Linked DNA regions of Coturnix japonica. The protein of the gene in region 1 purifies or fractionates together with the protein of each later gene. This does not show direct contact. Links are inferred from orthologs where the notes say so. Each region holds a gene or a part of one and is shown on either strand. Other genes may lie near its edges. The genes, in order: GSK3B, PPP1CB, PRUNE1, PRKAR1A, EPB41L3 and AXIN2.

Region 1 (5,340 bases):
TGGATCACGTGTTGCATGCCTACCCTTGGTTACTCAGTATGATTTTTGCCCCATTTGGGAAACAACATCCATCTGGAGGCAATGCAAGAACACTGAGGTGAAGAACAAAAGCAAAGCTTTAAGCTCATACCTCTTCTCTTATGCTATAATCAGCAGGTAGATAGCATCAGCATGTGGAGAACTGCAAGCTTCTGATTTACATATTCATCACCTGATTTTGAAGCTGATTTCTTGCACTATTAGACGTTAAGATAACAGCTAAGCTCTCACAACCACCATCTTTGCCATACCACGCACTTCCTACGGGCTCAACCTAAGAACACACGTTTCTTTGTGCGAAGAAAACCTACAAAGCCAGCAACGAAGACCTGAACAGAGAATAAACTACCTGGGAATGACTTCAGCACAGAAATTCATATGGTGCGGTGGAAAGAAACACAAAATGATCTCAAAAACACCAAAATAACAAAAAAATTGGCAGATCTCATAGGAACTCTTGATGTTGGTACATCATGGAAGTGATACAGGAAGGCCACAGGGTTCCTACTCTTGTAGCAACTGTAAAATTCTCATAACTAACAACTATGACAGAGGCCTGGGAAGTCACCTTCCTCCGAAGCCAGAGGACAAGACCCTGATGGGAATCCCCTTCCATTCAAGGCTCAAGCTTCTCAACAACTTCCGAGCACAAAGTCTAAAAAGATGGAAAAGTCAATGGCCACTCCCCCCTTTCACAGAATCACAGAATGAGCCGGGTTGGAAGGGACCTCAAGGATCATGTAGTTCCAACCCCCCTGCCTGGCAGGGCCACCAAACATACACCTTTACTAGATCAGGTTGCCCAGGGCCCCGTCCAACCTGGCCTTGAACACCTCCAAGGACGGGGCATCCACAACCTCACTGGGCAGCCTGTTCCAGGGCCTAAGCCTGCCATATCCTGAGCAGAAGAGCAATCACCACACTCCAGCTCTCTAACACAAGGTCCAACACACCCTCCTCCATTCCTTCCTCAATGCTTCCACCTCGTCCTTTGAATCCTTTCAAAGGAATGGAACTACTGCCGGGATCAGCTAGAAGGTGGTCACCAAAGCAAGCGTGACCTCACCACCTCATTTCACCACCACCCCAGCCTTACAAAGGCGAGCAAAAAGGCTGGCATAGAGGATAGGCTTTGCTTCCTGGTGACCTGGAGAAGGTCTGAATCAAGATGGGGATACAACAGCTGCCTACAGGACTCAAAGAGCAGCAATCCATCCATTTCCATCTGCTTCACAATCTCAAGAGAACCAGTAAAATATCACCCTTTCTGGCAATCAGTGGCGCTGCTCTCTTACAAAGGAAAATAAGAAGTCGAAACTTCCTGCACTGTCTTACACGGATAGATTAAGTGAAAAATACGCCTGCCTTTCCCACACAGTCCTTGCATGCGGTTCTCTTGCTTTGTTCTGACATTTTTTTCCAGACAGCAGAAGGACCAGGAGCACATGACTAGAGCGACTGGGGAGGAGGGGCTGGGGGGGGGGGTTATCACAAGTGCGTGTGCTTTATGCTACGGCCTTTGTTTCTCCCTCCGTGTTCCACACTTGGGATCAAATCGTATTTGCAAACTTGTTAGTCTGCATCACTTAGCACCCGCTTCGAAGGCGAGCATCTGTCTGGTTTCTGACCTCAAACAAACAGGAAAGGAGCATCAATGACCTTTCAAGAATCGAGCCGTACAGCTCGAATAAGGCAAATTTAGCTTTGGAGCGTGGCAGGGCTAAGTGTGGCTATAGCGTTAAACAGCCACCTGCAGAAATACCCAGCGACAAAACCTGCTTCCTATTCCACGCTCACGTGAAATAAATCGATACATTAAAATGGAGTCTTAAATATTCCCCCTTCCCCCCTCCCCCCCCGTGTGAATTAAGATCTTTAATACATTTGAACCAGATCAAACACAACCCGTTTTAGCAGCATATAAGAGTATAAAGGGCACTCGGAGTGCAGCAGGCACCCTGATCATGCAGATACAAAGCAGCAGCTCCAGAACCTCAGCCCAATATTCTCCTCAAGGCTTCAACCGCAGCGGAAGTACATTTTGATGCAGAAAAACGTCAGAATTTCTCTCATCTGTCAAAAAACCCCCAGCCGGGCAGAGCCCCGGCTTGAAAAGCCTCCAACACCAAGAACCAAACCCGCACACAGCAGTGCCAGGTGTGACCACACGGGATATCAAACGGATCAATCAAACCTTAACGCCCATCAAGCGCTCCAGGTCCCATAAAGACCCAGCCCTCCATTTCCATAGGGGAAAAAAAAAAGGGGGGAATATTACTGAAAACAAAGCCCGTAGCATGAATCGGCAATGATCTGACTGTTAATAGGCACGTATTCAAAGAAACCTTCAGGAATTATTTGCCATTCAAGAGATATAGTTCATTGTAGGTGACCCGCAGCTGGGCCTTTCTCTGGTCGTACCGAGAAGCAATGCCCATTCTCCATTCATATAGTGTGGCCGAGCCCACCAGCTGCAATGCAAAGGGTGGGCACCCATCAAGCACCGATCATTTCCAGCATGCCCGTGTGGAATAAAGCACAGGCCTCGTTCTTCAAAATATCCCCGTTGAGAAAACCTGGGCAAGGCAGCTCGAAACAACCACTCGCAAGCCACAATGAGGATTTTCTTCCTCCCTCCCGTTGGGGATCATTAGCAGCGTATGATACACCCTTTGTAACCCCCTCGGACGGCCTTTGTAATAGCCCCCCGTTTTCTTCCGCCTTTAATAGGCCGGGCCGTGGGCTTCCCACACCTGATACAGAGCTCCCCCCCCACCTCTTCCATCTCCCTCCTTCAGAGGGCACAAAACACCTCATTGGGACCAATGTCACGGCCGTACCCGCGTGCCCGTCATTCATCCCCTCCTCCCCGAGGCAGGAGGCAGAACAGGGGTGCTGGTAACCCCGAGGAGCCCCCCGCGGAGGCGAAACGGCACGGCCGGCAGGGGCCGAGGGCAGGGCCGGGAGCGGCCTTTTTGTGTCCCCCGCAGGCCCGGCCGAGCTCGCGGCCCACCCGAGACGAACGCGAGGCAGGGCAGGAGGGCGGCAGGGAACGGCCCGATACTCACGGCTGACTTTCATGCTGCCGAAGGCCGAGGGCTGCTGCACCGGCTTGCAGCTCTCCGCGAAGGAGGTGGTCCTGGGCCGCCCGGACATGGTCTCCGGCTCCGGCTGCGTCCCGTCGGGCTGTCCGCCTCCTCCGCTCTCCTCGGGGCTGCTCGCGGGGCTGTGTGCTGCGGGCTCAGCGGGAGGCGAAGGGCGAGCTGTGCCACATGAACCGCCGGCCCCTTCCCCCCCGGGGAAGCCCCCTCCCCTCTCGCTCTCCCCGCCGGCCTTTCCTCGCGTCTCCTTTCTTCTCCGGCCTCGCTCCTCCCGGCGCTCACAGCGCCATCCTCCCGCAGTGCCGGTGGGTCCGAGAGCCGCCTCCTCCCAGCCGCAGCCCCCCGGGCCGGCCGCGAGCAGCGGGGCTGTGCTCGGTGCTAGGCCTCGCTGCCCCCACCCTCAGCCCAGTCACATGGGGCGGAGGCTCGCGGCCCGGCTCCTCCGATCCTGCCGCTCGGCTTCTCTCTTCTCCTTTTCCCCTTTATGTCTTTTGCCTTTTTTCTTTTTTTTTCTCTCTCTCTTTTCTTTTTCTCCTCGCCTCCTTCCTCTCTCTGCCTCCTGCCCTCTCCTCTCCTTCCCCCTTCGCCACTGAGGGAGGGAGGCGGCGGGACTACTTTTCCCCCGGCGGAGGGATCTCGGAGCTGCTGGATCCGCCGACGGGAGGCGATGCGGCCCCGCGCAACGGGATCCGGCGGCGGCGGCGGGATCCGCGGCGGGCGGAGCGGTGTGAAGCGGCGCGGTGTGCCCGGCTGGCTCGCAGTGTGTGTGTGTGTGTGCTCTCAGTGCGGCGCTGAGGCGGCTCCGGCGCGGCTCCTCATTGCTCCCGCAGGGGCAGCTGGCGGCGGCTCACGCTGGGCAGGCTGCAGTGCGGGCGGTGGCCGGCGGCGGCGGTGCGGGCCATGGCGGCGGCGTTGGCTCCCAGCTCGTCCTCAGCCGGCTTCAGAGCGCCGGCGGCTCTCGCTGTTGCTTCCCCGGGCGTCCGAGGCGCATGAGGAGCCGTCCGCCCGGCTGAAGCTTCCCGCCGCTCCCTTCTGGCGCCGGCTGCCTCTCGCCGGGCCCCCCTCCCCGTTTCTGTTGGTCGCTCCCTTTGTCCCCGCTGCTGCCTCCGCTGCGTGCCGGGCTCCCGCTGCTGCGCTCTGTGTGTGCGCCAAAGCCGCGCAGCCGCCTATGCCCGTCGCCGCCCTACGCTGCGGAACGGCCCTAGGCGCCTTCTGTGAATAGCCACCCGAAGCGCCCGACGCACTCGTTAGCCCCCAGCCCGAGGCCCTGACGGAAATACCCGAGCGTCGTCGGGACCAATCCCGAGGCGGTTACGGAAATGCCTGTGACGGATCGGAACCAATCGCGAAGCCCTTACGGACGCACCCGAATCCCCCCGAAGCCAGGCGGAGGCCCAATCGGAAGGCGCCGCCACCGCCCTAGCAGCGCAGTCGGGCGGCCAATAGGAAGAAAGCCTCTCTTCCGGCTATTACCGAGCCAACCCGAAGGGAGCCGAAGCCAGACAGCCAATCGCAGGGCGCGCTGTCTCGATTACGCTCCGCCGATTGGTTCACGGCGATGAGGCGGCACGAAGACGGCAGCCAGCTGCGAGCTCTCGGCCAATCGCCATGCAGGGCCGGCAGCACGGCCCGCTCCCATTGGAGCATGGCAGCGGCGGGCGCCGCCCCTTTCACCTTCATGACCTCACCCGCTGCGCAGGGCGGGGATGCGGACAGAGTGCGCATGCGCGGGGCGTTATCGCCGCCGCCCTTGTGTGGGGGTTACAGGCTCTTCAGAGGGGCTGGGAATGGCGGGGGTGAAACACAGTGTATATCAGAGCCACTAAAATGGCCTCATAGCCGTGCCTTGGTGCCACCACACGAGGGTTTTGGTTGGAGCTGGCCAGCACGACCTCTGGAGGAGCCTGTCCTACCTCAGGACCTGTGGACTTCCACAGGGCAGGAGCTGGAGTGCTGTGACCCCACTAACATCGCTGTAGAGCTGAGCTTAAAATTGGGGCTTTTTTAGTCTTGAGCACCAATGCAAATTTCTTATTTACTGATGAAATTACTGATGGACACCAACCCTGTCCATCCACACTACAGGTATCCCAGTAGTTCTACTTCCCTTATAGGCACTCCTGCCCATATTTGTCCCTAATGGTTAAGAAATGAACTATATCAGTCCTAGTTTCTTCTCATCTAGAATGAAACCACACAC
Region 2 (4,678 bases), on another chromosome or scaffold:
TGCCTCTTCATCTCTTGTGTGGCTGCTTAACCTTAGTTAAACAAGTGATCTGGTTTCTTTTATTTTAATTAAAAACAAGCAGCAGTGTTGAACTGATCAGATGCATTCTGGGGGAAGTACACAATGATAGGCAGGGCAGAGCGTTCTGATCTTAACTCTTTGGACTTCAGTACTATGTGTCTTAGGATGGGTTGTTTCCCCTTATATCCTTTCTCCCCCACGTAGATGGCAGTGATCTACTCTGCAAAGTATGTTGGCTGAGAGCTGAGCTGCAATAAAAAGATGTATTCATTTTGCTCTTCTGTTAGCAAGTTTTATAAGACTTACTGAAACTGCAGCAAATATTTTTTGAGTCAAGTCTTACTGTGTTAAAGTTTGAAAACATGATTTGGTCTGCTAAAGGTTCATACCACTTTTTTTATAGCTGCTACTGTGGTTTAAAGCTGAGTGTTGCTCCATGCGAAGCAGGGGGGCAGAACATGATGGTAGCCTGGTATAGACACTGCTGTGTTCTGCTCTATTAGTTGCATCTGATTGTTAGTTTATACTGACATGTAGAACTGAATCACATCAGCCAGAATGTAGACATTTGTTCTGCCGCATGTACACATTAGAGCCTGAGAGAGGAATCAGGTAGGTATTCATGGAAAGAAGCAGCAGCAGATAGGCTTGGCAGAGGATGTTAGTCAGAGTGCGGTGGGGATGTTTTTGGAAACTTCAGGACTAAGTATGGATTGGAATACTTGGCTTGTGGATATAGGAATTCAATGTCAAGCTAATTGAATGTCTGTTTGGTTGCTGAGGTTCCCATAACTCGAGATCCATTATGTATGAATGAAGATTTTAATCAGCACAGACACAGTTTAATGTGATGTTCCTGATAGGACAGTTTCAGCTGCAAAAAGTACAAACGTTCCTTTTTATTATGCTTGCCTTGTTGAACTTAGTTGGCCTAGATCATTTTGCGTCAATGTATTTGAGATTTCCATTCTCAAGGCTTTTTTTGCCTGCTGCAAATACTCTAGCATAATCTGATAATTCATTTAAACACTTTTTGAAGTTGCTATTATCCAAATACAGACAAAAGCAAGATCTAAATTGCTGCTTTCTGGGACTGTGACTTAACCGGGATGCATTCGGAGCTTAAGCGCAGGTTGCCAGTATATCAGAGTTTAACTTTAGAACTGGCTGGAATATGCAGTTCCCACATTTAGTAGATAAGTTGGTGTGTCAGATACAGACTTCAAACACAGCTCATCTGCACTTAACTGTTGTTAGGTGTCTGTGTGCCAGCTATCTTAATTGTTAAACTTCTCATTACAGTACGAGGATGTCGTCCTGGGAAGATTGTTCAGATGACAGAAGCAGAAGTTCGGGGCTTGTGCATAAAATCACGAGAAATATTTCTTAGCCAGCCTATTCTCCTGGAACTAGAGGCACCGCTGAAAATTTGTGGTATGTAAACTTAATGTGTGTGTCTGTTATGTAGGTGTGTTGATTTAGTTGTATGCTAACTGGAATGAGAAGGAAAGTTGATGAAGGAGATGCTGAGATACACAGATGACCTTGATTTGAGCAATACAGATTAGTGATTGAGGTCTTCTCAACCTTAAACATCATTTTCAACTTAGATTGGAGTCAATCTAAGTTAGTCAAGAGAAAGGAACTAATGTTTGCTCTTGGTGCTATTTAGGAGCAAGTGCTGATGGCAGTAAGAGCTGCATGCACTTCTCTTCTAGTGCAAATTTTGCAGCCTGTCTGTTGTCCTAAGGGCTTCCTCCACAGAGCTGCTACTGTTTGGATCATTATCTCAAAGCATTCTAAAAACACCTAAGTAGTAAATGGTTGCTGTTGTTGTTCCTTTCATAGCAGAAACTGAAGAAAGATCTTCATATAAGATGAGATGGAGTACTTACTAGTCCACTTACTAGTGGAGCAATTGTAGTCATTGCCATTCACTTAGAATATTAGCAGTTATTAGTGTTATGTTTGTTCTTAAATGGCAAAGTCACTTTTAAGTGAGTAATGGCTTGCTTGAGTATGGAGGAGTGGAGGAACAGGACCAGCTTGCCTGACAGCATAAATTTGAAGGTAAAAATCTAGCTTTACTTCATTTTATTTTTTCTGTGATGAGAAAAAGAATAGTGTCATCTAATTCCTAGACAGAATAAAATTGAAAGACTTGCATACACTCTTAAGTTCAATCTGCAAAGTATAATGAGACTCCTTCAAACAAAGTTAGTTTCTCACTTGTTTAAATCTAAAGAGCTCAGAAGGCTCTTAGATATACAGTAGTCGAGATAGCAAATGCACAGTTATGTAAGAGATTTGTTATTTTTAAGTTACATGTTTAACAAAGCGGTAGCACCTGGAAGTGACATGTAGATCTAAATTAAACATTAGAGAAATTGTCAAAGTTGTATTTGTTTAGAAGTGGAAGAGAGGTGATGGCTTTCACTGAGAGCACAATATGCTGCTGTACTGCTTTGAACTACTGGTTTAATGTGTTCAGGTGGTGCTTGAGAAATTGTTATAGAACTGTCTTGTAATCAGTTCAAAATAAGCTTTTAAGTCTTGAATGGCTGTTCTAACATAAGATGGAAGATTTTCTTATGTAAACGTCCATTTTAAAATAGCTGTAGTTCTTTCTCTGATAGGCTTCAACTTGTGCCTGTATGAAGTTGTATTTTAAATTATCAGGTGCCTGCAAAGGAATAATTTGAAATGCTTTGGTCACTTCACAATAGTTTCTACAGAATGGTCTTTCATTCTTCTATGTCCATTAATCCCTTTAGCTTGTGTGTGTAACTTAAAGTAGTTTCAGACAATGAACATTAAATATTTCCATGGTATATTTATTTTGGTGATGAGTACTTCTGATGGTGATGAAGTTTGAGTACTAATTCAATAGTTCTGGAGTACTGGATTCAACACCATGGTGACATGTTGATGAAACTTGCATGTTTTTCTGTCTTAACCTGGAGATTTCTAAATACCAAGTGGAGTAGAAACTCTTCTTGTAGTGTACGCACAAATGATTTTAGCTGGTAGAACTTCAGAGGGCCTGCAGTTGGGTAGTGAATAATGTTCATTATTAAATGGAAAGTGGTGTGCAAGTCCCCTCCTTGAGCAAGAAATAGTTGAAAGCATTGTCTGCTGAAAGAAAATAGTGTTGATTTTTCTCATGGAAAGATAAAGAGGAATAAGGCATGAAGTCACTGCTGGAGTATGTGACTCCACACAAGATGTGCAAGTCTTTTTGTTTGGTTTAAGGTTCTGAAACAAGTTGTAGGCATGTGGGTGGGGACATTTTGTTTGTCAGTTTTGCTCTTTATAGCCAAGGAAGCTAGTTCTCTACTGGAGAATTACTAGGCTTAATAAAGACAGGTATTTTGCCACAGAACAAACAGCACAGTTGAAAATGTATTCATGACATGCTTAGTGTAAGGGATCAAGAAGTAGTCTGTATTATCAGCATACAGCTTTTACTAAGGGTTTCTTAGGCATAGTTTTGCATTTAGTCACTTTGTTAATGAATTCTGCAGTCAACTGAAGTATATCACAGCTACTGTACAAGTTACGGTAGAGCTTTGGTATCACTTTTGACCTTATGGGCAGCTCAAGGGTAATTACTTCAGCCTAGTCTGATGTGATGTGCTGTGGTGGTTTAGTTGCTGCACAGAGCTATTGTGTGGATGTGGATGGAAGCCATCTTAGTTTTAAAACTGGCAGTGTGATGAGTAACATGATCATTACTGCTCCTAAGACTTCTGCAGTTTTGAGTAGCATGTCAGGGCTATCAGTCTTTCAGTCTCTGTACTGTTTACAATAAATGCATCCAGGGAGTTGTCCTAAATGCCAGAGAATGGGAAGCTTAGTACAGTGATTTAAGCTCTTGATATGTTTACTCCTTACATTGTTGCACTCATCCGTGGTAATCCTTTTTTTATTCAGGTGATATTCATGGTCAGTATACAGATTTGCTTCGACTATTTGAATACGGAGGATTCCCACCAGAAGCAAATTATCTTTTCCTTGGAGATTATGTAGACAGAGGCAAACAGTCTCTGGAAACCATTTGCCTACTTCTGGCATATAAAATAAAGTACCCAGAAAACTTCTTTCTCTTAAGAGGAAATCATGAGTGTGCTAGCATCAACCGGATCTATGGATTCTATGATGAATGTAAGTTAAACCTATTTCTTCTGAAAGGCTGATGTGTATTAATACTGTGTTTTGGAAGTACTTCTGGTAAATGACTCACGATTCATGTGCTATAAGAATTTCAGTGTTCTGTGAACCTGCTTTGAAACCTTCTCAAAGAGCCTATCAAAAGAAGGTTAAACTTAGAATTATTTTCTATTCTGTTGTTTCTGAAATGGTATTGTAGGAGTCTCTGAGTGTACTCAGGTTTCAGAAATAAAGCTGTGTGAAGACAGTCAGTTTACATCCCCAATCAAGTTGTAATACATGTTGTAGGTTGGCTTTAAGAAAATAGTCATCTTTTCCTAATCTCTCACACTGCTCTTGTAGGTAAGCGGAGGTTTAACATTAAGCTCTGGAAGACCTTCACAGACTGCTTTAACTGTTTGCCAATTGCAGCCATTGTGGATGAGAAGATCTTCTGCTGTCATGGAGGTAAATGGATGACTACTTTTAAAGGATGTGTCTAAGCTGT
Region 3 (5,314 bases), on another chromosome or scaffold:
GGGGGGGGAGGGGTGCTTTGGGAGCACTGGCAGTGAGGAGGGGGCTGCAGCAGCCAGCCAGGCTCAGACAGAGGAAGCTGCAGCTCCATGCTGGGGATGTGACCCCCACAGCACCCTGAGCACCACCAGGGACCCCTCACTTAGAGTCAGGGGGGTGCTGCTCTGTGGCCATGCGGCTGACCCGCTCCAGCACAGCCTGGGGGCAGACAGGGGGCACGGCTTGTGCCAGCGGGCTCTCTTCCACCAGGCTGTTCATGGGGGTGGGCGGAGGGGCCGCCTCCTCCTCCTGCCCTGCTGCAGTGCCCGGCCCTCCCCCCAGAGCAGCCCTGAGGATGGGCAGCACTTTCTTCCTGGAGGCCAGCGAGTTACCCTGTGCATAGGCACTAATGCAAGGCCAGGGGCTGGGCAGGGCCTGCAGCTGCAACGCTGGGGCTGTGGCCTCCTCCAGTGCACAGCACACCTGGAGGGGGCAAAGGGTGGTGTCTGCAGTGCAGCTCTGACACCCCCAGCCCTGAAGTGGGGGGACAGAGCACCCTGCTCTGTACACCCTTGTGTTGGCTCACCATGTTCCGCAGGGCCCCGTTCTGGCTGTACACCGCCAGCTGCCGCGTGGGCTCATAGCACTCATTAAAGGAAACCGTCATGGCCACCAGCACGGAGTAACCACGAGCCTGGCAGAACGTTTCCAGGTCCTGCAGCAAACCGGGACGGCGCAGGAAGAGCTGGAGGAGGAGGAGGAGGAGGACAGGCCTTGGAGTCACACATCACACTGTGCTGGGCCTCAGCCTCCCCTTGCTGAGCCTCACCTCTATGTCCATGTAGATGCCGCTGATGGCAAGGACTTGTTCATCCCCAGAGACTGTTTTGAGGTCCTTCCGCAGCATCTGCTCCGTTGTCAGCCCTGGGAAGGCAGAGGGGCTGAATGTGAGCACTGCCCCGCGTCCCAGCACCCTGCACAGCGCTGCTGAGCCCCCAAAGCCAGACCTGAGACATCAAACTTGGCTGCCTGCAGTGCTTTGTAGATGCTGTCGTGGGGCGGCAGCTCCGGGAAGCGCGACTCAAGCAGGGAGACGCAGAGCACATCGCGAGGGGTCACCTTGCCAGCAGCAGGGCTCAGGTTAATGCTGTCCAGCAGGATGGTGCCTGCAGGGACCGGGGCTGTCGGCACATGGGAGCAGAGCCCCACACCAGGGCAGCAAAGCCTAAGAGGCAGCCTCACCATGCAGCAGTGCAGCCGTGGTCCGGTCCAGCACGCCCGGGGGCCCCTGTGCAATCCGTTCCGTCACCAATGTGGCACAGGAACCCACCAGCTCCACCGTGAGCTGGCAGCTGGGCGCCCACTCCCGCTCCAGTGGCCGGTGATCCAGCACATCCACCACGGCTTCCTCCAGGGCTGCGTCGGTGCTGGCGGGTGAGATGAGGACAGTGAGAGCCCTGGCACAGCCCTGCCATGCACCACCGTCAGCACAGCCCCCTCTGCTCATCTGCCTTAAAAACACCCCAAGAAGGGCAAAGCTTTTATCCATCCTGGGCTGAAATCCGACCTCTTCGCTCACAACAGGGAGAAGGAAAGCAGTGCATCGCAGCCACATCCCATCATGGCGCTCACCTAGGCAGGACGTGGTGATCCACCAGAGTCAGGGAGAGCAGCCCAGCCCCGTGCAGCCCAAGCAGGTCGATCTCATCGCGGAAGATGAGCGAGGAGTCGGGGATGTTGTGCTCCCGCAGCAGGAACGTTGTCTCCGTGCGCAGGGCAAAGTCAGAGCGTGGGATGTTCAGCACTGGGATGAAGGCGGCTTTGGGTGGCACAGAGGTCTGTGGGGGGGGGGATCAGCACCCAGTGAGGCATCCCCTGAGCCCCCCATCACCCAGCAGCATACAGGCAGCCTCACCTTTGCTAGGAAATAAGCCAAGGCCAGGGCAGACACGGTGGAGTCCAGGTCACAGGCCTCGTTGCCCATCACCACATGCACCTCCTGATGCTGCTGGATGTGTTCCTGCCAAAGAGAGAGACGTCAGCCCCATTGGGACACATCTACCCCCTAAAAGCCCCCCTGAAGGACACAGCTCTGTGCAAACGGAGCCATTTGTGGCCTCAGCACCCCCACAAGCAGCTCCCAGCGATGGTCTCATCAAATGAGGAACACAAACAGGGCTGTTCTGTGTCTCAAAAGCCTCACGTTAACAGCACATGTGTGAGAAAGCCAAGCAGGTCACACAGCATTGCAGCAGGGGGAATTGGGACCCCCCCCCACGCAGGGATGTGGCACCCACGGGAGATGGAGGACCTGCTGTGGATCCTTATGAGCTGAACCTCAGACCAGAGTGATTTTTCTGGCTGTGATGAAAGGCAGACGGGACTTTCAATACCGACACTGTCATTGTGGGGCCAAAATGCCCCTTTCAGCCCAGGCAGCAGCAGGGACACCACTGTCCCCCCACAGATCCCAGCTCCCTCCCTTTGGCACTCGATGCTCTGCAGGCTTTTCTCCAGTGACAGACACTTCACAGCATAACCCAGATTCTCTTATTTATTCCACTGAAAAAGTAAACAGCCGTGGGCCAAGCCCAGAGCCTGCGCCATTCAGGTACTGCAGGTCCCCCCAACCAATAGTCCCAAAGGAGAGGACATGGGGGGGGTCCCAGCCACCTGTGGGGTGCGGGAACGCCACAGTGTGGGTGCAGGGCACAGTGTCACCTCCAGCCATGGGGTGGGTGGGTGGGGGGGCACACGGGCTCTCCTGGAGAGGTAATGGGGGCTCATACTCCTCCAACCCCCCCGGTCCATGTGCTGCTCGTCTCCCTACACCCCCTTTCCTCCCCACACATCGCTGTGGGACGTTCCCATCCCGTCCCTCTTTCCCCACTCGCGGTATCGCCGCGGTGTTCCCGTGCCCCCCAACCCCTCACTTATCCCCTTCTACCCGCTGTCCTGTATCCCCCCCCTCCACGTCTCCCAACCCCGCAGCCGCCGGCTCCGCTCCCGGCCGTACCTGCAGGGCCGCCCTCCGCCCCTCCAAGAACCGCTCCATGACGGCGGCGACCACCGCCCGGCCCAGACCGAGACCGCCACCCCGCGCCACGGCCCGGTCCGGCCCTGAAGGCGGAGCGTGGGCTCCGCGCAGGCTGCCGGGAGAGGCGGGGCGGCCCCGGGGCGGGGGGACACCCGGAGCTCCTCAGGCCCGGTCCGGGGTCGCTTAGGCCCAGGCCCGAGGCGTAGGCCGCTCGCGTAGGCCCGGCCCGCAGGCGTAGGCCGGGCCCGTAGGCCGCAGGCGCTACTCGTAGGCCGCAGGCCGCTCCCTGCCGGCCTTCCCCCGCCCTAAGGTGAAGCGGCGGCTGGGGGAAGTCGGCTCGTGGCCGGGCTCCGCCATGCGGTTGTTTATTTGTCTCTTTCTCCTCCCCCCGCCCTTCCTTCTCCGCCCTAAGTCCGCCCTCCCGGCGTAGGCCTGGCGGCATGCGGGCCGCGCCTCCGCGCTGAGGGGAAGGAGGGGGTAAAAAGGGGGAAAAAGGCCGAATAACGGCGGTGGCGGCAGCGAGGTGAGGGGAAAGGAGGACCGGGGGGACCGGGGGGGTGGTTGTAAAGCGGGCAGTGTCTGTTTGCTGGGTGGGGGCCGGGCAGGTGCCGGGGGGTTACATGACGAATGTAATATATCGGTGGAGCGATTAATAACAGCGGGATAATTAGAGCCGATGGGATGGTTCATGTTGGAGGGGAGCTGCGGGGGGGTCGTTCGGTCCTGACTTCTTCAGCACTAAACTCCGAACTCAGTGAATGTGGAGGTATCACCCCCCCACCTCCAAACCCCCCCCCGCCCATAAAGGGAACGTTTTGCTGTTCGGGGCCCTGTGCTAAAGATCTGGATGCAGATTGTGCTGGTTGCACTGCTGGATTTTGGGGGAAAGGTGAGTGCTGTGCTTCCAACCTGCAGCCATCTCCTGTGGGAGGCGTCGTGAGGCTCCTCGCCTCCTGTTGTCCACGCTTGGAGATCCCGACCTCCATGCAGGCTGTGCCTGTGGTGGGCAGGAAGAGCTCATGGCATGGAGCAGAGCTGCTGGATGTGCCCCTTCCCCACTCTGGGGCAGCAGCTGGTAAATGTCGGGTGCTGCTCCGTGCAGGAAATCCTAAAGGATTTAGAAATCCTGAAGGATTTCCTGCTTGAAAGCTGGCCCAACCAGTGGGTCCGGTCTGGAGCTTCCTGCTGGCACCTGTTTGCAGCAGCCTTCCCCCTGCAGAGCTGCTTTGGAAGCAATGGAACCACGGCTGGGTGAGGCGGCGTGCAGCACTGCAGGCGTTCAGACCTGTTTGTCCTGCTGCTGCCATGGGATGCTGCCCTCAGCTTCCTGCAGTGCATTCCCAGCCAGGTCTGCATTGTGGGGTCACTGGCGGGGGGTGTCCGGGTATTGCATTTCCCAGCAGGGGTATATTCCTCTGCAGCACACATTTACTTTCCTCACCTCCCCGCTGTGCACTGCAGGATGCTCTGATGGTGTTTGTGTGCACAAAGGTGTGGGGCAGCAGCACAGGGATGACTTCATGGCCTCCATCCAGCAGAGCACTTCAGCACATGCTTCTCTTTGAGCACTGCACTCCTCTGAGACCACTCTGCTGCTGTTTGGGGTGTGTTTAAGTGCTTCCCTGGATCCAGGCCTGAATTCCTCTTTGGGATGAGCACATTAACAGGGCTGGTTGTCTGCTTCCTACCTCTGAAACACCATAGCAGAACGCTGGGCTGCAGTTCCCATCCCAGCAGTGGGAAGTGCAGCTCTGGGCTTTAAACCTGCGCAGCTCGTGAGCTAGTTTTAATGAGCTCTGGCGCAGCTCTCGCGGCTGTTGTTAACTCTTGTCATGCAGTTCTCTTGGCTTTATTAACCTGTGGCAGCTCTGAGCTTCAACCTGTGCAGCTCTGAGGCTTCAAACCTGTGCAGCTCTGAGCTTCAAACCTGTGCAGCTCTGAGCTTTAAACCTGTGCAGCTCTGAGCTTTAAACCTGTGCAGCTCTGAGCTTTAAACCTGTGCAGCTCTGAGCTTTAAACCTGTGCAGCTCTGAGCTTTAACCTGTCAGCTCTGAGCTTTAAACCTGTGCAGCTCTGAGCTCTCAGCTTGCTTTTGGGCACTGTGAAGCTGCACTCCTTGGGCTCAGGTCCCCCTCCCTTGTAGGGGGGCAAAGGGGATGGTCTTGTTATAAAGCTGCCAGGTCTCGATGTGTTTATTGCCATAACACCCAAAGAAGGGCAGGATCTGACCGCACTGCTTCAGTCCAAACACAACCAAGCCACCCTCTTCCCTCAGAACTGCCTGTATCCAGGGCTGCAGC
Region 4 (4,678 bases), on another chromosome or scaffold:
TTTCTTCATTCTGTTGGGAACTGAGTGTTACTGTTTTGCTTTTTGTTCCTCTCATTTGTCCTGAAGGTCTCTTCAGTGTTCTTGTTGAAAACCTTGTGATCTTTGGAATGAAAAGCGTTTTCATTTCAGTGCTCATATTTGAATCAATTTAACGCTGATTTGAACAGTTAATTGAATATAACTATAGCTTAAGCTGATAGAGAATAATCTGCTATGAAAACATGAGTTTTTAAGGGTGAATGCAGAAGAAAGATTAGCTGTAACCACTGCACTCAGCACAGGTCGTTAGTAATTACTGTAGCTGTGACCTTGTACAGCAGTCATTTGCAGGTGCTGCTTTAGCTTCCCATCTTACGTGGAAACTATATCTTTGTCTTTTTTCAGGCTCCTAATAATCCTTCATCCCCACCTTTTACTGTATCAGCTTTCCCACCTTGTATTCTTGGGTTTCTAGTAGTGATACATTGTAAGGTTTGGTGTATCAATGCTTGTGCTAATGTTGCTTTAAAAACTATCAAAGAAAACTGTTCTTTTGAAGTTAGGAGGTAGAACTTGGAATAAGCGAAGAGTAAGCAAAGCCACGAAGGGACATAAAACAGAAGCATGGCTATATGTGCCAACTCGTGTGGCTGTAGCTGCTGGTGGAACTGTAGCCTTCTTATATTATTGAATATAAACATTGCCATGTCTTTCTTCAAGGTAATTTCATAGTTCAGCCATATGGGTTGGTCTTAGTTTGAGCAGTGTGTTGAACCTTCAGAGCTATCAAGTAACAGAGCTGCGCTGCTGCTATTAACCAGCTCTAACCTGGTACTTAGCTCCAGTGCAGCAGAAATGTTTGAAACCATGTGTTTTCCAAGAGTAACATCTGTTTTATCCTTATGAAAGCAGAGCAACTTTCCCATCTACTTTTAAAATGTTACACTGAATGAAACTGAGGTTGAGGCGGAGTATTTTTTTTAAGCTTTGGTTGAGACTGACTTCTGAAGGAACATCATTTAAAAATGAAGTGTGGGTTCTATTTTCTCTCCTGACAAGTCATCTCTTCCACAGTGCACACAGAGCTGATTCACTGTCATGTTACTCACATACATTGGAGATGTTTAAACTTACCGTTGAATTATTGCTCAGAAACACTCAAATTACTGCCTCTGAAGTAGTTACAATAGGAATTCACGTGTCCTTTTCAGCTATGCAAGCTTTCACTTGAATTTTATCACTATACTCAGATAAAATAACATTTATACAATCAATTTGCGGTGCACTACGGCTTCTGTTGATTTTGCTGTGCAAACAGGGCTGATAACACAAGTGCACACTGACAGCTGATTGCTACCCGGTGCTGAGCTTGGCTGCGTTCTGTAGTTGAAGCTGTGAAAACCTAATGTAGAGATTGGTATTGCAGCCTGCCAGGTGGGTCTTCTGCACGTGTATTGGGCTTTGTGCAAAACAGAAGTTAGAAAGCTGGGGATAATGGTCTAAGTACTATGCCTATTTCTCATCATCTGGCCTGCCTCCGTAAATGTGTACTTAAATATCTTTCAAGTGACTTGTTTTGGGGAGAAAAAGGGTGGTGGAAAGCTGATATAAATTAAATACAAGTTAACCAGAAGAAATCGACTATTTCTGGTGTCATGTGGATGCCCAATCCCTACAGGCATTCAAGGCCAGGCTGGATGCCTCATAAGAATCCGTGTTGTGGTTATAGGTGCTTTTCTTCAATATTTGCTTTAATTTTAAGAGCTTCTAAACTTGAACAAATACGTTTCCTCACTCTGGTTGGATTCTAAGGTACCTGAAAGGGGCAGCTATGATTTTTGGTCAAGGCCTATCTGGTGATGTAATATACACATATAACAGGCTTGTTTTTAATGTAACAGTGTTAAGTCTCAGTGCAGGCAGAAGTCACCAGTTCTGTTTTCTCTCCCAGTGCAGCTGCTGGTGGATTTATCCCAGAGCAACACTGTGATGTGCAGCTCCCTCCCTCAGTGCTGTTGAAGTGCTTCCGTCTGTGGCATTTGCAGGGTCTGTGTATCCTGTGTGATACTAGAAAAGTCACAGCAGCTGATGTTTGCTTTCTAAATAAGTGCCAAGGCTTTAAATATTCCTTGCCCCAGCAGTTGGAAATGTGGCACTATTTTGTTAATGAACACAAAGCAGGAAGCGCAGGGTGATTTGACGGATCAGTGCTCTTTGGTTATCTGAGAAGTATCAAATGTAAACTCACTGTAATGGTTAGCTGAGGTCCCTTTCCTCAAAGCGGTGGAGTTACACGTAACCTCTGTGTACCTCCGGAGTGGATTGTGGCAGCCAAGCCACAGGAGGGACAGCTTTATCAAGGACACTGGGACAAGCCCAGCTTTTACGTGCCTGGAGCCCTCAGAGGAGACAGATGACTCCTTGTTCTGTTAAAACATGTCCCCAAACCCTCTTTCCTTATGGCAGGGAGAAAAGCATTTGAGTCATAATAGCTCAAATGACTCAACTGTGAGGTTGGCTTTTTTTAAAATACAGATCTTAGTTAAGTAAGGTGAATTTTCTGTTATGTGAAAGGATCAAATCTCTGTGCTTTGATATAGTTAGGATTCACTTTATTCTAACTGTGCTGGCTTTTCCCAGTATTAATCCAACACAGCCCAGGAAGCAGCTGTGGGAAATAAGGAACATGTCTAGCATTGTACACAGCTGACAGATCTGTGGCTTGAGAGAAGGTACTGTTTGGCCCTTAGCATCTTTTCTGTAAGCAGTGTTCATGTCTCTTCTAAAATAACCCATGGTTACCAAGCATCGAGTTGGTCCGTGGCTTCACCTTGTTTCTAAAGCTTCTCATGTAACAGGGATTTCAAAGGAGTTGTTTTTCTGTCCTTCAAAGGAATAAAAGGCTTAACACCCTGCAGCTCAGGGGAGGAACTGCTGTATGCACTCTTGGGAAAATGGCTTTCTCCTTTGCAGGTTTTTTTTTTTTCATTGCTTATTGAATATGCTAGTGGAAAGTAGAGTCAAATTGTGCTTCTCAAATTAATTAACTGTTAGTGTAATTTGTTAAAATCAACACCATTGTGGCGTGAATATTAGGAAAGGCGTATTTTCTGTCTACTTCAGTAAGGCAGTTGATCATGCGAGCTGTAATCTCCTGCTTGCCTTAATGTGAGAGTAATAGGACACAGGAAGCTCCCCTTGTGCTGGCAGGCTAAATTGGAATATGATATGTAACTGCTTTTTCCTTTCCTGGATTATGTGACACAAATATCTCTTCTTTCCTGTTTAGGAGGAAACAAAACAGTTGTTAAATCAACAGAAGTCTGGTTCACGTTCAGACTCACGGGAGGATGAAATCTCTCCTCCTCCTCCTATGAACCCTGTGGTCAAGGGTCGAAGAAGACGTGGGGCCATCAGTGCAGAAGTCTATACAGAGGAGGATGCTGCATCTTATGTTAGAAAGGTGCTCTAAGTTTTGTCCTTTAATGTTGCCAAGAGTTGTACATAGAATCAGAGTTTACTTGAGGCTATTTAATATCCAGTATATTAAGTAACACTAAGCCTGTAACCTGTTAGGTAGTGTGATAACAGTGAAATTCAGACCTGCATGTATAGCTCTTTGGGTTGCCATGCAGACAAACCATTTTTACAGTTTTGATCTTTTCCTGTTGATGTAGTGTGTATATAAACACATATTTATATATGTGTTTTTAATTCATGCACACAGAGTACTTCTAACGGATGCAGCAGTATTAAGTTTAACCCAGAGGTGGAGCAGATTTGCTGCTATTCATTGAGAAATTAGTTGAACATATACTTGCAATTGTGAAAAGACACTACGGACTTAACATGGAATTGTGGTTTTTACAGTTGCATAAATTCAATGTTTTATTTACCTTCTGAATAAACTGGCTGTAGAAGTTGACTGTATTTGTGTCTTAGAACTACAGTGCTTAAAAGAACCCGAAAATACTTGAGTTTTGTAGCAGTGTGAGTCATTTGTTAGTCCTGGATAGTTCAGAAGATTCTCTTTAGAAATTGAGTCAGTTACTTTTTCTGATTTTTTTTTTTTTTTAATCCTAGGTTATTCCAAAAGATTATAAAACTATGGCTGCATTGGCAAAAGCTATTGAGAAGAATGTGCTGTTTGCCCATCTTGATGATAATGAGAGAAGGTAGGAATAAATCTTTGTCGAAGTCTTAAAAGTATAGTATAATGCTAAGTTAAAAGTTACAAGTTGCATTTAACTTTCCATTTGTATAGTAAAATACAAAGTTGCACAGCCTGTTTACAAACAGTCAGTGTAAATGTAAAGAGATTACAGGAAAAGTTGGTTGGTTGAGGTTGGAGGTGTGCGAATGCATGCACAGTATCACGGAATAGCTGGGATTGGAAGGGACCTTTAAAGATCATCTGGTTCTAACCCTTCAGCTGTGGGCAGGGACACCTTTCACTAGATGAGGTGGCTGTGTGTGTGTTGCAGTTGTCTAATTTTGGTATCCTTTTTTCAGTGACATCTTTGATGCAATGTTTCCCGTCACTTACATTGCAGGCGAGACTGTCATACAGCAAGGCAAGTGACATTACTGACATTGATAAATGTGTGGGATGGTGAGCAGGCCCTGACCTAATGCTCTTGTTACTGTGCTTCTTTGGAAGTTAAAACCCTGCCTGGGTGTGACAAACCTTTCTTGTCAC
Region 5 (4,678 bases), on another chromosome or scaffold:
TGCCAGTTGCATAGTCAAAGCAAATCATGTTGCATACTTGTATAAGAAGAATAAAAGACACTGCCTTCAGTTCAATATCTTTAGTAGGATGGCATTTACTGTCTTGTACTATTAAATTTAAATAGTGCTGAAGGGGGTTGATGTTTTCTAACAAAAGCAGACTGCAGTGCAGACTGCAGCTACATACAAATGCATACTGTTCTAAAATCTCATCAGAAGTGTGGCTGTTACAACTGGGATACAGTTGGGCTTATTTGCCCTATTTCTGTAACTTGTTTTCAACTGTAACATTATGAACCATGGTGATATATGATTTTTAACCTCAGGATGATTCTGATGATAATTTTACTCTGCTTCAAATTACTGCAGAAAAGTGTGGCAAATGCAATTTATTTATTTATTTATTTATTTATTTATTTGTCCACATTATATGGGCCTCTAATGGGAAGAAACCTAGAAGAAATCTAACTCTGCCTGAGGTGATGCTGTTTATTTGTTTGATAACTACTCTAAGAAGTTCAGTGGTAAAATTATTATATACTTTCCAGAGAGACAGGATTGATTTCTTAAAAGACTTCATACTTTAGTACTCCTGAAACACAGATAAACCTTCAGATATTCTAATTTAGCTTTTATATCTCAAATATAGGGCACTGAGGATTGGGTTATTATAGACAAAGTACCTTCTGAGGTAGCTGATGGTGAATCGAAAAAAAATGTGACATACAAAGTGGTGACTGTGAGCAGTAAAGCTGGCATTCCGCCCGAGGTACTAAAATCCAGCACAGTTCTGAGCTTTGAGGACTTGGAAAGTGAAATACAATCCAAAGATGAGAATAAGCAGAAAACATTCACCTTAGGAAAGTCCTATGATGCTGTGTCTGGGAAAATTGTTACCATGACAAGTAAAACAAAAGAGGGAGAGAAAACAGTACAGCCTTCTGTAGAAGCTTTGCAAAAAAAGGAGAAGGAAGCACAAGAATCTTTGAAAATCATTCCAGTATTGGCCAAGTATGGGATCGTAGAGCCTGTCGCTGAGGAGAAGGCCGATGTGCAGAGCACAAAAAGAAAGCTGTCTGACTCCCTGACACCTATAAAGGAAGCGGAATCTCAGTTGCAAAGTCCCGAAGAGGAGAGCTTGAAAAAGACACTAAGGATGGACCAAGATTTGCAGTTACTGGGAAGCTTGCAGCTTGGCAAAGCAGAAAAACACCTTGATGGTGAAGCTGCAAAAGCAGGGGCATTTACCTGGAAAGATAAAAGTGTGTCTGAGTGGAGATACTCCAGAGAACAACCATTTACCATTGCTACTGCTCACTATGTTGTTACTGAGTCGTCTGCATCAAAAGTAGTGGTAACAAGAGGCTTTGACTTCATGCCACAGTTTAAAGATTAAAGCATGACTTCTTTTAGGCAATGCCCTCACACTACCCTGCCTTTCAGTTCTCCTGCTGCCTGGCTTTATGTTGACAGCAGCCAACCCAGCTTATTTTTTTCTCATAATTTGAAGCCATACTACAGTGTAAAGCAGGCATTATATAAGGCTTTCAACTTTTCTGGTTCATTTAAAGATCCATGTTACTGACGTGTGGTGTTGCCGCTGTTGCTTGTTAACCAAAGGGTAAAAAGGTTTGCCTGAACGAGCAAAACGCCGGTGCTAACAACTATGCTTTGTAACTATTGCTTAATACAGCCAGTATGAATTTGCTCTAATTTATTTTCCCATCCTTATCCCATTCCCAGCCTCTCTGTGCCCTGCAACCTTCTCTTCCTTTCCTCTGTCTCTGCCTCCTGTTTTGTCAGTTAATTTCTCTGTGCATGTGGGTTGGCCTTTCATCTGTGTATGACTCTCCATTTCTTTGTCTGTTTAGACTAAACAGTCCACCGGTGAAAAAACCCTGGATGGCTCAGATATCTTCAGTTTAATAGAGTCCGCCAGGAAGCCGACTGAGTTCATAGGAGGGGTTACTACTACTTCCCATAGCTGGGCGCAGGTGGCTGTTTCATTCCATCCCTCGGTGTTATAACTGCACAATAATGACTTTTGATTTGCTTTTGTTTCCTGTTTTTATGCATAATTCAGAGCCTGTATGCCTAACGCATTGCATTGCTGTGCCTTGTTCTTTGTTACAACAGACCACAACAGAAACTTCACCAAAAGGGAAAACAACGACAACAACAAGTGTTGTGGGTTTTTGTTTTTGTTTTTGTTTTTAATCTCATTTCAGTTTATTTTGGTCATTTTACAGGGTGCTGTATTTTGCCTTTATAAGACTCGCACAAAACTACCAAGGATAAAAACACTGGCATTTTTCTTCACTTCTAAAATCATAATCTTGTTTTATTTTTCATTTCTACTTTTCTGATTATGTCCTTAGAGTGAAAATCCATTAGCGCGAGAGAAATAAATTGGCAAAATGTAATACCCCGTTTTTATTTATGTTCACAGTACGTTAAGCTGAGGAGCTGCTCTGTGTAGCATTGTCTGCTTTCAACATGAGGATTTTTTTTTTCTTCTTTCCCAACAGAGAATAGACACGACAACATCTCAGGAGATAACTTCCAGTGAACTGAAGCAAGCAGCTCAGCCACACCAGGACGCAGTGACGAAGGTTGTACAGGAGACTGTGGTTATCGAGGAGAGACGTGGGATGAATGTGCATGCGAGTGGGGATCCCGCTACAGTGGCTGGACTTGCAGATGCCCAGGCTCAGGCAGCATCTGCTAGCGCAAAAGGGAAGGAGGGCACTGCTGTGACTAAGGGGGCTAAAGAGGAAAAAAGGGAGGCTCACAAAGCTGTAACCAAACAGGAAGGCATTGCTGCTGCTACTTCTCATGAGCAAGCGGAGGAGCACAGTACAACAGTCCACGTTTCAGACTCTTTGGAAAGAAAACCTCATTTTGAGGTAACTCGTTAAATCAGTTCTTGTGCTGAGTTGTAAATGTATGTGGTAGTGGACTAAGTCAATTCCTCTCATGGAAAGTAAAGAGTACAAGACTTCTATGATTGCATTTTTACAGCAGGCAGTTTGTTTCTCCTCTTATTTCCTCCTTGCATGGCACCTGCAAAGCTTGTTGCTGGTTTCCATCCTTGGCTAAATGCCATGCATATTTTACCTAAAAGCGCTTTTCATGCTGCAGAGAAATGCCTCATTTGCTGGCTTTTTATGCAGTGGGCAACAAGGACTCAGCTGGCATTCTCTTTGGGAAAATCCATCAGGATTGGCAAAGTTTGCATGTCCTCAAAGAAAGAAATTTTTTTTTTTTTTTCCATTCTTGATACAGTCATACATTATTGTAGTCTGTCTGAAGCAATCTGTGCTTCTTGTTTTAGCCCCATTAGAAAGATTTCAAGAAACATTTTGCAGAAGGGTAGAGATACCTTGTTTTGCTCTTTTTTTCTTTTTTTTTTTTTTTCTGAAAGCTGAATGGAAAAGCAAGCCTGAATAGGATTTGTTCTCTTGTCATTCTGAGAACATGTGTAATGTTTACATGTTTCCTGAAGCTCGTTCTCATGTAATCCAGAGTAGTGTCGAACTGCTAGTGCTATATACATACCATTACAACAAAGAGATTTTTTTTTCTCTTTTGTTTCTTAAAATGCAGAGCACTTTTTTATTAAAAATCCAGAAACTTTACTAAATTTTCCAATCCCTTTTTTTTTGTTTGTTTGTTTTTGTTCACACAGTCACCAGTTGTGAAGACTGAAACAATCAGTTTCAGTAGTGTTTCTACTGGGGGGGAAAACCTTGAAATTTCAACAAAGGAAGTGCCAGTAGTCCATACAGAAACAAAAACCATTACATATGAGTCTTCACAGGTAAGAAATCCTACAGAAGCCAATGTCTAATTAGCATGGCCTTGAAAATCCCATCTCTCTTCATCCATGTTTTGGTGTATTCCTTAGTATGAACTGTTGTTTGGGAACTCAATACTAGCACGGAGAGTATGTGCAAAAGTGTATTGTACCTGAAGGTGACTGGTGTGTCCTGATGTAGGGCCTTTAGAGAATGCTGATAAAACTATAGGTTTCAAAGCCCCAGTTTCTCATCTGTCCTTCCAGAAGAGAAGTCGTAATGCAGAGAGAAATAAAGATGCATAATCACCCTAACAGCTGTTATTTCCCTGTTGTTAAATAACTCTCTATGAAGAACAGCAAAAATAGAGAAGCTCAGTTCTTGACTTCCTTTGCTTAAGGGTATACTTTTGATTATTGTTTTTTGGTTCTCTAGGTGGATAGTGGTGCTGACTCAGAGCCTGGTGTGCTGATGAGTGCACAAACTATCACGTCTGAAACCACCAGCACTACAACCACTACACATATCACCAAAGTGAGTCCTCTGGAAATGGAAAGCTTTTTTTTTTTTTTTTTTTTTTTTTTCTGAAGGAAAAATGTGTTTTCTTAGCTTCTGTTGTTTTAAAGCAGAGTCACATGCTTATAAGCTCAAACAAAATCCTGTCTGTTTTGGCTTTCACCTGTCTTTGGGTATACTAGCTTGATTAAGGTCAAGTGCACAGTGCTGCACTTGGATCGGGGAATCCTAGGTATTTATACAAACTGGGGGAAGATCTCCTTGAGAGCAGCCCTGTGGAGAAGGACTTGGGAGTCCTGGTGGATGAGAAGCTGGACATGAGCCAGCAGTGTGCGCTTGCAGCCCACAAGGCCAACTGTGCTCTG
Region 6 (4,678 bases), on another chromosome or scaffold:
GTATAATCCTAGCCCTGTGAATCCCAAGTGACCCTACACTGGTCCAGAAATGACTAACCCAATGAATGCTCTGTTGACACATGATCACATACAACCAGAGCCAGTAAGAAGAAATAAAGAAGTCACCCTATGATTCAGCTCTTTTATTTAATGCCAATATTGTTCAATAAGGGAATCTGGTGGGACAACAAACTATTTTTTTTCCCGTAATATCAGTTCAAAACACACTTGTGCACTAAGAAAACAACAACAACAACGACGAAAAAAAGCTAAATAAAAAGCTTTTGTTTACACATCAAGGATTTTTGGTAAATCCTGTTTTCCATTGCGCATCATCACGCAGCGCTGTCGATTAAAAATACAACCAGCATGCAAAGCTCTTTAAGGAGCACACGGGATTCAATGCCACATCCCATAGGCACAGGGGGAAGGTTCAGTCCTGGGATGCAGACCTGGAACACAGCACTGTTATCTGACAGGCTGCGTTTCGGGAGGACTTGTACTAAAGTGAAGATCAAGGAACACAAACAGAAACGTCTGCCTTCTCCCCAGTTGAAGAAAGGGGTCCCTAAGAACACTATGCGAGTCCTACTGACTTCCCCACCTCCAGACACAAAAACACCATTCCTCCTCTGCTGGGGAAGGAAAACTGTGGGAGAACACTGAAACTGCACACCAAGGAGGAGAAAAACAGATCCTGCCACAAAACCATCCCTTCCCTCTGCTCCCAACACACTCAGACCTGATCCAAGCAGCTCCGTTCAAAAGGTTCTTTGAAGGCTGCCCCAGCCACACCAGCTGAGCAGCTATTTGCCCCTTCAGGTCACTGGCCCTATTAATGTACATACTGACATTACCGATGAACCTTAATTACAGAAAGTGCTTCCTACAGGAAGTAATCTCCTCCTCTTTGATGACTGATAACTAGTTAAGGAAGCCTGGCCTTAAGACAAAAGGCACAGGGAGATTGCTCCTTGGGTTAGTCAGGCAGTACTATAAGCATAGGGGAAAACACGTTAGCTCAGCTACAGAGGGGTTCATCACCTCCTTCCATCCGATACCTACGGCAACGGCACAAAGAACGAGGCCACCAGGCCTGGCTGCCCTCTGGGTGTGGCTGGACCCACAATTACCTACAGTGCATCAGTACAGCCCATTTAGAGATGGTGCACCCCAAAAAAGACCAGGCCAGCATAAGATACTTACACGCTGCTGTCTGTCATTGACATGGAGTCATCCGTCAGGGCATCACTGGATATTTCACTATCGTTTGCGCTGGTTGCTGGGGCAAAGACATAGCCAGAACTCACATGGTAGGGGTTAACAGGATCATTCCTCTTGAAGGACCTAGAGACAGGCAAATAAGAACCCAGTTATCAGCCAGGCTTGGGCTGGAGGACAGCACGTGAGCTTAACACCAGCACTCTCCATATGGCACCCCTTGAGAAGCACCAAGCACCCATTGCTCACAACAGCTCCCTGCCAGGAGCAAGGGAACAACCAGCATATGCTATTCAAAAGCACCCACAGCCCAGTGTTAAAGATGTGGCTATTGGCACAGGATACACAGCTCAGAAAACCCCAGGAGATGTCCCAGGGCATTTTGATACCTTTGGAACCTTGGTCCTAAGAGCCTGGTGCTGTGCTGCCAAAGCCAGCAGGAGCTCTGCCATCAACAAGCACTAGATCAAGAAGTTCATAGCTTGAGCCCTACTGAGGACAAGCTCATAAATGCTTAAACCTACTCTGAACACAGGAGGTAAGGCTCCTTTGGGAGAAGTTATGCTATCTGTGTATTGGAAACAAGAGAACTGCTAAACAGGACCCCCACGCATCACGGCTGCAACCTGCTACCCTAGGGCCCCCCCCAAAGAGAGGTGCCATCTTCCTGGCACCACAAAGGCCCATTTTTAGGGTGAACCTCCTCACCAAACAGCACGGGATTTCTTGTGCTTAGGGCTGGATGAGGTAGGAGGGAGGCATGAGGTCGGTATGAGGGCAGAAGCAGCTGCAGGTTGCACATGGAAAGCAACAGCTTCAACCAAAGAAGGAAACCCTGAGCTTGGCCAGGATGGCTGAGCCCATCACCACCAACCCATCCGTGGGCAATGCCGGGAGCTACGATGGGGTCACTGAGCAGGAAACCTCCAACTCAGCTGGGATCAATCCCCTATCTTGGCAGGCGATAAGGGGATTATGCAGGGAGGTTTGAAAGCTGCGTGTTAAGGTGCACATTTTGTTCCCCTGAGATGGAAGATGGGGTTGTTAAGCTTCTGCGTTTGTATATCAAAGCAAAGGGCCTTGTCATCTGATAAGGACTGCTGATTTTAATAATTAGGGCCACTTACCCAGGACTTGGGGGCCTAAGGAATGTGCCAGCAGGCTCGGCAGGTTTTTTAATGGGCTTTCAAGCTCCCCACCCCCACGGCAGGGCTCTGGGGGAAGTGGTGGGATGCAACAGAGCGGCCCTAATAGGGGGCAGCAGCTGCCCCACTGCTGTGCACCCCTCCCTTGCAGCATGGGGGGAAACGGGGGCTTTTACAGAGCTTGGGTTAAAAACAAAGCAGGAAAAAAAGAAGTTAAAATAAAAAAGGAAATGAAAAAAAGAAGAAAGAAGAGGGAAAAAAAAAGGAGGGGGAGAAGCTGGGCCTCTCTGGTATGAGGTGCAGGGCTGGGGCTGCTGCAGGTACTCAGCCCAGCCAGGGCTGCATTCCTTTCCAAGGGAGGCCAAGGCACCACTGATGGGGAGATCAAGATGTTAGAAAACATATAGCTGCAAAAAAAAAAAAAATGAGATAGCGAGGAATGCCACAGGAAAGAAGTTAAATCTTCAAAGATAAATTAATTCCACATGTGGGTGAAAGCAAAGTTATCCCACTACTACTACAAAGGAGTTTGCTAAACGCATGCAGCCTCCTGCTCTGATTCAGAGGGATGTGAAGTCCCTGTGACACTGCGTGGGTCCTTGGTGGGCTTCCAGGGGATTGAGCAAGGGATGCAGCTCTTTCCTAACAGTGATTTGAAACCATCGCAGGTCTTGAGAGCGCACACAAGGACCACAGGGCTCAGCAGGGCGGGCTGCTCCAGGGTCCTGGATTGGGATGGGATGCTCCTTAAGTAACATGGAATGGGATGCACTAGGGTCCAGCACAGCCCTCCCCAGCTGCCCCAGGAGGGCCACATTCCTGTGCTCTCCCTGCTGGGGGGCGGAGGCAGCAGTTGTGTATGAACACAGCGCAGGGTGAGGAGGTGTGTCCAAACAGCATTCGGAAAGATATAATTAGAGAAAGTGGCCAGAACTCACTCCTCTTCCCCCCATCAGTGTCAGCCTGCAGCGCTGCTTCCCCTACCAAAACCTCACTGATGAAAAGCCCCCAAGGAGCTTCAAGGAGAACATCTGATGTTTCTCAGGCTATTCATATCTGGATGCAATGACACACAGTGTGCAGCTCTCCCTGTGCCACGTTAGGCCACGGGTGTATCAGAGTTCAGGGCCATCATGATTGCAGGAGCTCCCGGTTGCATCCCCTACTATCAGAGGGCTATTTCAATGTGGGGTTTTTTTTATTGCCAAACTCTGCTTCTTCAAAATAAGAAGTGTTCCGGCACTTCAAACCACAGATGTATATACAGAGAGCAAAGAAAATCTGCCAGGAGCATTTTGAAGGCAGAACTGAGGCTCATTAAGTGCTTTCTTGGGACAAACATCATGGGGCGCTCACAAGTTTCAAGGCAAAAAGAGAAGCGGCACAAACACGGGGGTGGAAAAAAAATACGCTTTTTTAGAAGGAAATAGAAAAATATTAAGAAAACTATGTTAATCACGGCCTCCATGCTCTAATTGTAAAGCACCGCTCCGAGCGCAGCTTTACAATGGCATCATTTACTTTGATAATTGAAGCCAAACTCAGTTCCAATAACTCCGCACACAACAGCTCCACCGGCGCGGCGTTCAAAGGGCAGGAAGCCTCGGAGCCAGCACTGCCAATGAGTGCAGGGCTAATGGGAGGCAGATGAACCCACCCTGCACCCAACAACACTTCAGTGGCACTGCCAAGGCAGGAGAGCAGCTCCATATAAGAAGGGTGTATAAATAATGGCTGGGATTACTGGATGGTGGGGCCAGGTCCAGCACGCTCAGCAGGACTGATGCTGGGGATGAAGGCTCAGCCACACACTGCATGCCATGGCCATGACTCTGTGCCTTGGGATTGATTTCCAGCTGCCTCCTGTCCCTAAATCCTGGATCAGGTGCACTCAGCCCCACACTTCATTCTGCTCTTATAGTCCCATTGAAGCAAGTGGGAAGAGCCCGCACAGCACTTCCAAACCGTAGCATGCTGGATACAGGGCAGGGATTCTTTGATTCCATTGCACGTATGAGGAGGGAGGTGTGGTTTGGCCACTCACCAGGAAAGACTTTGTGGGAGCTTCAGCTCCAATCCTGAGCGCCTTCCTAAATGCTGAGTGATGAGAGATAACCCATCCACATGTTCTTAAAACACACACACACACGTGGCTCTGCAAATGGGCAGCTCAGGGAGGGACCAAGCAGCATCACAGTTTGACCTCCATCCCTTTGCACTGAGATCTCTTGGCCCCATAGTGAGCAAAAGCTCCTGGAAATTCAACAGGAGGTGATCAAAGCACAGCACAACATCCTAGGAAGGCAAATCTG

What was found.
Region 2: the proteins of GSK3B (region 1) and PPP1CB purify together in Homo sapiens (affinity purification with mass spectrometry; 3 studies listed by BioGRID and IntAct, with this or other methods). This does not show direct contact. The link is inferred for Coturnix japonica from reciprocal best matches to the Homo sapiens genes GSK3B and PPP1CB.
Region 3: the proteins of GSK3B (region 1) and PRUNE1 purify together in Homo sapiens (affinity purification with mass spectrometry; 5 studies listed by BioGRID and IntAct, with this or other methods). This does not show direct contact. The link is inferred for Coturnix japonica from reciprocal best matches to the Homo sapiens genes GSK3B and PRUNE1.
Region 4: the proteins of GSK3B (region 1) and PRKAR1A purify together in Homo sapiens (affinity purification with mass spectrometry; 3 studies listed by BioGRID and IntAct, with this or other methods). This does not show direct contact. The link is inferred for Coturnix japonica from reciprocal best matches to the Homo sapiens genes GSK3B and PRKAR1A.
Region 5: the proteins of GSK3B (region 1) and EPB41L3 purify together in Homo sapiens (affinity purification with mass spectrometry; 4 studies listed by BioGRID and IntAct, with this or other methods). This does not show direct contact. The link is inferred for Coturnix japonica from reciprocal best matches to the Homo sapiens genes GSK3B and EPB41L3.
Region 6: the proteins of GSK3B (region 1) and AXIN2 purify together in Homo sapiens (affinity purification with mass spectrometry; 9 studies listed by BioGRID and IntAct, with this or other methods). This does not show direct contact. The link is inferred for Coturnix japonica from reciprocal best matches to the Homo sapiens genes GSK3B and AXIN2.

Annotation. Positions count from the first base shown.
Region 1 is NC_029516.1:71,650,201-71,655,540, reverse strand, and holds the start of GSK3B (glycogen synthase kinase-3 beta), read right to left. Parts: upstream 3,421-5,340; 5' UTR 3,196-3,420; coding exon 3,108-3,195; intron 1-3,107. UniProt on the Homo sapiens protein: Constitutively active protein kinase that acts as a negative regulator in the hormonal control of glucose homeostasis, Wnt signaling and regulation of transcription factors and microtubules, by phosphorylating and inactivating glycogen synthase (GYS1 or GYS2), EIF2B, CTNNB1/beta-catenin, APC, AXIN1, DPYSL2/CRMP2, JUN, NFATC1/NFATC, MAPT/TAU and MACF1.
Region 2 is NC_029518.1:24,311,822-24,316,499, reverse strand, and holds part of PPP1CB (serine/threonine-protein phosphatase PP1-beta catalytic subunit), read left to right. Parts: intron 1-1,323; coding exon 1,324-1,455; intron 1,456-3,954; coding exon 3,955-4,185; intron 4,186-4,533; coding exon 4,534-4,638; intron 4,639-4,678. UniProt on the Homo sapiens protein: Protein phosphatase that associates with over 200 regulatory proteins to form highly specific holoenzymes which dephosphorylate hundreds of biological targets.
Region 3 is NC_029540.1:2,201,681-2,206,994, reverse strand, and holds the start of PRUNE1 (exopolyphosphatase PRUNE1), read right to left. Parts: upstream 3,102-5,314; 5' UTR 3,033-3,101; coding exon 2,994-3,032; intron 1,998-2,993; coding exon 1,893-1,997; intron 1,816-1,892; coding exon 1,610-1,815; intron 1,405-1,609; coding exon 1,220-1,404; intron 1,144-1,219; coding exon 985-1,143; intron 902-984; coding exon 807-901; intron 723-806; coding exon 564-722; intron 461-563; coding exon 137-460; 3' UTR 1-136. UniProt on the Homo sapiens protein: Phosphodiesterase (PDE) that has higher activity toward cAMP than cGMP, as substrate. Plays a role in cell proliferation, migration and differentiation, and acts as a negative regulator of NME1. Plays a role in the regulation of neurogenesis.
Region 4 is NC_029533.1:6,397,743-6,402,420, reverse strand, and holds part of PRKAR1A (cAMP-dependent protein kinase type I-alpha regulatory subunit), read left to right. Parts: intron 1-3,268; coding exon 3,269-3,442; intron 3,443-4,062; coding exon 4,063-4,154; intron 4,155-4,491; coding exon 4,492-4,553; intron 4,554-4,678. UniProt on the Homo sapiens protein: Regulatory subunit of the cAMP-dependent protein kinases involved in cAMP signaling in cells.
Region 5 is NC_029517.1:90,376,788-90,381,465, forward strand, and holds part of EPB41L3 (band 4.1-like protein 3), read left to right. Parts: intron 1-649; coding exon 650-1,354; intron 1,355-1,871; coding exon 1,872-1,994; intron 1,995-2,528; coding exon 2,529-2,906; intron 2,907-3,688; coding exon 3,689-3,820; intron 3,821-4,232; coding exon 4,233-4,331; intron 4,332-4,678. UniProt on the Homo sapiens protein: Tumor suppressor that inhibits cell proliferation and promotes apoptosis. Modulates the activity of protein arginine N-methyltransferases, including PRMT3 and PRMT5.
Region 6 is NC_029533.1:6,607,704-6,612,381, forward strand, and holds part of AXIN2 (axin-2), read right to left. Parts: intron 1,348-4,678; coding exon 1,207-1,347; intron 1-1,206. UniProt on the Homo sapiens protein: Inhibitor of the Wnt signaling pathway. Down-regulates beta-catenin. Probably facilitate the phosphorylation of beta-catenin and APC by GSK3B.